Neurospora crassa OR74A: one gene and its partner. The protein of the gene in region 1 interacts with the protein of each later gene in a pairwise test. Links are inferred from orthologs where the notes say so. Each region holds a gene or a part of one and is shown on either strand. Other genes may lie near its edges.

Evidence for each region. The genes of interacting proteins can lie anywhere in the genome.
Region 2: the proteins of NCU10155 (region 1) and NCU02631 interact in a two-hybrid assay, tested with the Saccharomyces cerevisiae proteins (4 studies listed by BioGRID). The link is inferred for Neurospora crassa OR74A from reciprocal best matches to the Saccharomyces cerevisiae genes DPB2 and PSF1.

What each region holds. Positions count from the first base shown.
Region 1 is NC_026505.1:1,592,464-1,596,509, reverse strand, and holds the start of NCU10155 (DNA polymerase epsilon subunit B), read right to left. Parts: upstream 2,801-4,046; 5' UTR 2,668-2,800; coding exon 1,889-2,667; intron 1,830-1,888; coding exon 53-1,829; 3' UTR 1-52. Other genes in the region: NCU04588 (hypothetical protein), read left to right, coding at 3,049-3,135, 3,253-3,752, 3,826-3,907. UniProt on the Saccharomyces cerevisiae protein: As accessory component of the DNA polymerase epsilon complex participates in chromosomal DNA replication.
Region 2 is NC_026501.1:2,993,052-2,996,584, reverse strand, and holds NCU02631 (DNA replication complex GINS protein psf-1), read right to left. Parts: upstream 2,331-3,533; 5' UTR 2,150-2,330; coding exon 2,117-2,149; intron 2,062-2,116; coding exon 1,538-2,061; intron 1,469-1,537; coding exon 1,375-1,468; 3' UTR 501-1,374; downstream 1-500. UniProt on the Saccharomyces cerevisiae protein: Required for DNA replication. Functions as part of the GINS complex which plays an essential role in the initiation of DNA replication by binding to DNA replication origins and facilitating the assembly of the DNA replication machinery.

The sequences.
Region 1 (4,046 bases):
AAGGCAGATTTTTCTCCAGACAATCAAACATTTCACTCGAAATGTGCAAAACTCAGAATGTACACTCCCTAACCCTCCCTCCACCCGTCCCCGTCCCTCCCACTCCCGGTAACTCATACTCAACCCACCGTGCCGCCCCCTTCCTCCCCGGCACTAATATGCTCCCCGGATTCATCACGTGGCACCCCTCATACGTCACGCAAAACGGCGGAGCGGTAGTATCCACCAGTACCATGGCCGTCGGCAGCGGGTAGAGGTACATGGCGGAAGTATAGTCCCAATGTACCGGGCGGATAGCTTGCCGGAAAGGAGCGAGATAGCCTTGGTCGAGAATGGTTTTCACTAGCTTGCGGGCGGCGAGGACGTCGTAGGGTATGGAAGATGGAGGAGGCATGGTAGTCTTTTGGTTAGGGGCAGGGGCAGAATCGACATCCATGGCGTCGGTCATGGTTGTGTCGGCCATGTCTTCGTCGTCAGCATCGGGGGCGTCGGGGAGGGAGGAGGGTGGACATTGGTTATCCATTGCCGAGTCGTCGTTACCATTGGTTGGGGGTTCCGGCTCGACGGAGGCTTTGCTCGTGTTCTTAAGACGGACAGAAGCTCGTCGTAACCGGGCGGAGATGTCATCTCGGAAAAGAACCATTTCGTGACTAGGCCCGAAAAGGGTTATCCTACTTGGGTTGGTTGTCCAGACAGCTTCGCCGCCTCTCCTCTTGCCTGCATCCTTTTCTGTTTCTTTGCCAGGGTTGGCTAGCCCGGCTTCAGCATTCGCTGCTGCGAATACCCTCCTGATGCGGGAAGTAAACAGATCTGGGACGGGTTTCCTCGGCAAAGGAGTTGCCGCACCACCTGAGAAGGCAGACACCCACCCGTCGTTGTCACCTGGCACAAAAACAAAGGTAGCCGTCGTGAGCAGACTAGGGAAATCCGCCAGTGTCGATGCCAACGCATCGAAAAACTCCTTGTACTCAATACTCCCCCCACTCCCGCCCCTCGCCATGACAGCATGCTGCGTGAAGTTACCCGCCAGCACAAACGTCATGGGTGTACACCCTTCAGGATCACTAGCATAGAGACCCAAGATTTTTCTCAGTGCCTGCAAACTCCTCGGCTGATCTAGGTTTAGTTCGCCAATAATCACTGCCCTACCCCTCGACGGCCTGCCATCCTCCAACAGCGCTGGTTGCCGAAGAATTCTGTGCTCCAACTTGCGCATTTTGGACCCGACTGCCCTCTCGCTACCTACGCCCAGGAAGTCGATCCAGCCGAATCCGCCGCCAATGGTATGATCAGCGCCGGTGCCGTCGGGCCCACTAACCCCGAGCGTAACGCGGCGCTTTTCGCATGGTGGCTGGCCGATGAAGAAACCTTGGAACCGGCCGCCGATGGTACCGCCCACACCGCTGCTACCACTGAGACCGTTGCCCATGGTCATGGTTTCCTCCTCCTCTTCGTAGACGCCGTCGATGAGAACAATCATTCCCGGCGTAAACCAGGCAGAATCTTCAGGGATGGCGACAGCGTGAGAGAGGTCGAGAGTAATGGTGCCCGTCAGGTCGCTGATGGCAAGAGAGCCAGTGGGAAGGACAACAAGCATGCCCAGCAGCATGTGGTTGCTGCCATGGCGGCCGAGCAGGTTGGCGATTGGGGTAATCTTGTGGGAGGAGAGGCCGTTGGCGTTGGTTCGTTGGCGCAAGCTGGAGCCTTGGACGGAGGAGGATTGAAAGGCTTCGTTGCGAAGGATGCGCTGATGAATAACGTTGTAGCGGTTGCGGAAGGCATCGGTTTTGTGAGAGGCGGCTGGTAGTAGGGAGGGTTTGGAAGGATCCCTACAAAGGTTAGCTGTGTAACCTATGTAAAGAGGGTAATAAATAATAAGGGACCATACCTCTCAAAATGCTTCTTTCCAACATTATACATCAACCGTGGTTGATCGAAAGCATGTATAACCTTCAGCCACCTCCTAACATCTCTCACCGAATCGTCTTCCGGCTCTTCTGTGAACTCCAACCCAGACATGCCAAAGCTGGCGTTGCTGTCCTCCCGGGTTAATGATGGCACGGGCCGAAGTCCGAGTCGACTATGCGCATGTTGTTCGTCTTGGTCGGGCTCTAGCAAGAGACTGTTTTGTCTGCTCAAGCTTCGTGGCCCGGTCAGGATCTTTCCTCCGCTCATGTTTCCCTCGAGGGTCTTGAGAATGTCCTTGAGCTCGGGGCTGTTGCCTTCCACGATGACGCCGCCATTGCGGTTCTTCCAACTCCTTGCTACCTCTTCTAGCACCTTTTCGGCCAGGCCTTCTTCCCTCCATCCTGAGCCACAGTGTCTACCGATAAAGGTTGCGAGCTCTTGTAGGGCAGTTGATGTAAGTGTTAGGCTGTGTTTCTTGGTAAACGTTCGGAAGGCGAGCGGTCGTAGTGTCGCCGGCGGAAGGATGATGGGCAGGATTGCGGCTTTTGTGAGGACTGGGGGTTGGAACGGCTTCAGTGGATGTACTGGAGTAGCGAAGGCGGGCGAGGACGAGGGTATCGGGTTGGATGGGCCCGCTGGGGTCTTGGGCGCAAAGAAGCCGGCGGCGGCTGCTGCTTGTGGCTGCGGTCGAGATGGTCTGTCTTGGGCGTTTGTCTGGCCGGTTTTCGTCCGCTTTTGGCGGGGACTTTGAACGATCATTGTGTCTGTGGTCTGGATAGCTCGACTAAACTTGCAATTTAGTATAGTCGGTTACAATTGGCCGTCTACCAGTCTGTTCGTGGTGGTGATATCCGTCATTGTCACTGTCTGGAAGACGCGTAAATTGAGAAACGAAGCAGGGGACCAGACGCGTTCTAGTGGGGCTCACCCCAGATTTCAGCCAATACGGGCTCCACAATGTCAGAAACAGGGGCATCAAGGGCCACCTACCCTGGTTGCCGCCGGCAGCGCTAGAGAGGTACCTACAGCAGGTACCTACGCTACAAGTAGACGCACGAACAGCACCAGAGTGACATCAACTAACTTTTGACGCCATCACCAACCTTTTCATTCTCGATATCAGATTCAATACAGCCAGTCATGATGCTTACTACAAGATTTCGTGTAGTTCCTACGCTACGAAGCGCAGTCAGGTCATTCACGACCTTGCCGTCCAACCCAAACATTGCAAGTCATCCATCCACCTCTCCACCAACAACCCCACCCGCACTTACACCACAACCCCCATCCTCACCACATCACCACACAACAACTCAAACACCATACTAACACCCATCACCACAGAAAGTCTTTCCCCACCCAAACGACCCAAAAAGCTACATCCTCTCCCTCCTCCCCACGACCCCTCCCCCACCCACCCTCTCCATCGGCACCACCACCGCCCTACCCCCAACTCCCCAGTCCTTCACCACCAACCCCCACTTTCTTTCCATCCTCAACTCCGTCCTCGCCGAACACGCCTACTCCGACCCCGGTCTTCAATCACAAGCCCAAGCCTTTGCTTCCCCAGCCGGTTTCTCCTTCCTTCCTCGTCCTGGCTCGAGAAAGGTAGGCAAAAAGGGCAGCGACACGGGCGCCGGCGGGGCGTCAGCGGAGGGAGGCGCGGGAGGCGCGGGCAGGGGAGGATGGGTGCACTTGAGTGATGAGAGGACGCCAGTGGATTTCGGAAGGATTGCGTGGCCCGAGGATATCTTTGGGAGCGTGGAGGTGGATGGGCAGGGAAAGATGATCGAGGGGACGTTCCAGGGGAGTGGGACTTATCGGGTTGTTACGAATCAGGGCATGTGAGTATTTTTACTTTGGTGAGGTGAGGTGAGGTGGGTTGACGTGGTTGCTAACTGTTGGGATTGGTTACAGCTTGGGACTAAGTCCGTTTTTGATGGAGAGGTTGGTTGCGAGGTTCAAGGAGGAGGAGGCGAAAGAGAAGCAGAAAGCTTGAGAGGAGATGTTTGGGGTTTGAAGGATGTGGGTGGTGAGAGCGGATGTACAATAGGTGAGCGGTCCGTTTGATGTGTCGCTACACTTCATGCTGTTGTCCAAAATAAAGGGGAGACGTACGTCTTGGGGTTCGATTCGTC
Region 2 (3,533 bases), on another chromosome or scaffold:
TCGTAGAAGGTCCGTCCTCGGCTGGAGGCGATTCGAGGAGTACAGGCCGGTGGTGAGAAGCAAAATTCTATGGAGCAATCTTGTCGACAGCAACATACAAGAAGCACCGACCGCGCCATGCTGCATCCGGCCGGAACTCTTTGGCCCCGCCTGCAAAGACTTCGTCGGGCGGGATATCTGATGACTAGTATGTACATAAGCTTCGACGGTTCGGGGTTTCCATGTTGTCCCGTCGTGCGTCGTAGCGTCTATCGTACCTAGCGCCGGAGGAAGACTGAACAAGAACTGATATGGTCTCAATTGATCAGTTGAAAGCCAATGATACTACCTAGCAGTTGCTGGATGGCCTGGACCTGTTGTTTTAGCTGGCCATGGTGGGGTTGAGGCCGTGGAAGGGAAAGGCGTCATCTGCATGATGTAATCCTTGTTCCACCAAGCAGCCTTCCCAGTGCGAATTGGTTTCTCTTTTTTGAAATTGAACACTGCACCCCAGTAACTATCATTCAGCTCCACGTGTGACAGACTGACAGCGAGCACACGGCAATAACGGTCAAAAGTTTACATAACCCTATGACTGTTCTTATCGCCTTCTTCAGATGGGCCCTATTAGCTGTAGTTTGACAAATCAAGGACTAGTCAGTACCTCTTCTCTTTACTCGGGTTGATTCTCAGTATCTGCCATCAACGAAACAATATACTGAAAAAAGGATGTTATCAGCCGCCACAAACACAGTGTTGCCATGCCAGAAAACTTGGCCACTGGTTGGTGAAAAAATTTGAAGGGCCTTGTGAAACCCCTTGCTGGCTGTCACTCCAGCCTCGACGTTCGGCCGTCGTCCACCGCGGCAATTCCGTGTGGGTTCCTGAATCAATGGTCTGGCCGTCAAAGTAACCTTTCCCTCATCCTTCCCGCAACTTACAAACTGTGCTACCGTCTGGTTGTGGGCTCATGGTCCCTTGTCGATGCAAGCACTTCTCAAACCTTCATCAATGGTCCAGCCATTGAGAAAAAGTAGATGGTAACTCCTTGCCCCACAGAGACTCAAAATATTTGGTTGAAGTCACCTTTGGCCGTCGTCGTAGTACAAGGACTGGTCAGCTCTGTGTGTGCGGCGCAACCCTTTTGAGTCGGTCCTTTGCGCTCCCTCCAACATCTAGCTGCTGATCAATGACCATTGCATATGGCTTCTGGTCGAAGCCATTGAGTCCGTCACTCCCTCTCCGGTACTGTTCGGAAGGCGCCACGCCGTCAATGGTCAGGAAAGAGCGAGGGGTCTGTCAACCTGTCGGCAACCGCTGCCGATAGCAGTTTTCCATTGCTGGTCTGCAGCAACAAGCTCCGGTCTCAAATCATCGATGCCAGGTCGATATTGTTCAACCCAGCTTTTGCAAATATCCCTGCACAATCAGACGCTCCACATCTCCTTGCCGGACATAGAATTGACTGTTCTTTGTCAGGTTGATCGCCCTTTAGACATGCGTTAGTTAGCGTGGAACCAAAGCCATCATCTATTCCTCCATCTGTAGCGTAGCTTACCCATATTCGGTTTGGATCTCGCCCGCATCCTTCAACACTCGGACGTCGATAAAAAGGTCTCGTGGGGGTTCGAGACTGCCTGTGAGATCGATATCCGTCCATTGGCCTTTGTAGAGGGCCAACAAATCTCCAAACTGTCGAAAATAATCCTCTTCCTGGGGACTAAGACTGCTGGTGGTCCCGCCCCCTTCATTGCCCTCCGTCACGCCCTTGGGCCCTCCTGTCGTCTGGCCGGCAAGGTCGAGGATATCGGCTCCATTCCACACCAGCTCCTCGAGCTTGTCTGTTCGGATTCGGTGATAGGCGAGCAGACAGCGCTTGTTCCTTCGCATTGAAAGGTGGTTGACCAGCAGCGTGCACGCGGTGGCCTGTTCGGCGGAAGGATCAAATGACCCCTGGAAAGGTTCAAGTAAACTGGCGACGTCTTTGTCAAGATCCCGGATTTCTCGGGCCACTGCACGGACAAGCTCGGTCTGATAAGGTGGAAGATGGCTCAAGTTCTGTGTCCTCTTGGCATGCTGGACCTGGTGATGGTGTGAGTGTTCGTATCCAGGGAGGATGCAGTGAGCTTGCACAAACCAGTTTGTTACCCAAGTCACCGTACATGGGCATGTTTTCGACGTGGCTTAAGTGCCTCTTTGGACAGTTCGAAGCTGAAAGGTGTGATAGTGGAATTGACTATGTGTCTATTTTCTGACGCGTCTCACGTCGCGTCGTTTTCTCGAACAGCCAGGCGGGTGAAGTTCGAGGTTCCGTCTGGATGTGAAACCGTTCTATGGCCACTAGCATATCAAGCGTTGTTAGGCAGATAGGCGCTACAAGATGGTCTAAGCACTGCACTTGAACGCGGGGTGGGCATCAAAAGTCCTCGGACAGCCCTAACCCGAAGCAGAATACGCAGTAGAGGTACGTGTATCCGAACATTTTCTTCGTCCCATTCCCTCTCAACCAGCTGCATACGGCGTGTCCCAAGGCATACGTGCAGTCAGGGCATTCACTAACGTCGGCGACAAGAATAGGGATATTCATAAAGCAAGACGTACAGAGGTAGTTGAAGGGTGATGCTTCTTCTCATGGGCAAAGGCCGCAGTACAGGCCACCGTACCTTTGAAACGAACGTCTCATTTCCTGAAGCCGATACCAGTTCAGAGATACATGTGAAGAATCGGAGTGCCTTCGCACATGGTGCACACATTCTACATGCCCCTACGTCCAAAAGTTACTAGCATTAAGCCCTTGAACAGTTAAGAAATATTCAATAAACTATTGCTAAGCAAACACGATATAATCTATCAACTGTTGAAACCAGCAACCTTCTCGGACCACCTTGATACTCCCACCCGCCCATAACGCACCGGACAATCGGTAATGGTGACGAGGAAAGACTACACTAGGCTCCGTAGGGTTGCCAAATTCCAACTTCAGATGGGCTGCTCCATTGGACAAGCACTCGGCATGCGCAAAGATACAACAACTACGATTCATGAGTTAGCTCAAGAGCTGCGAAAAAGAAGCAATATTCCAAGTTGAATGAGATGCCAAAAGGGTCAGAGTCGCATAAATGCTGGTTTCGTCGTCATCTGCAGAGGTCTTAAGTCTGCTTGGTAACACGGACCAATTCGATCATCACGGGATGGGCGTGGGAGTACCGGTAACGGAGGAGTAGGGAAGGAGAATATCAAACAAGGTGCTAGAACTTACACTAATGACAGACACCGACGCGGCGTACTTCTGGCATTGCCAGCTTTTAGCAATTTGGAGCCATTCTCTCTGATGTCTCCCACAATGGCGCTGTTCAAACGCGGCGGTTGCACACGAAGAACCAAAACGGGGAGAATTTCACACAGCGAAAAATTTCCTGGCCATTAAATACAGACAGTGCACAGACCAGGCACAGGAACCCACCGAACTGACCGAAGACTCCATCGTGAAGACGGGACCTACATGGAAGCTCCGATAAGATAAGGAGCTAAGTACTGCCCTGTATGTAGGTAGG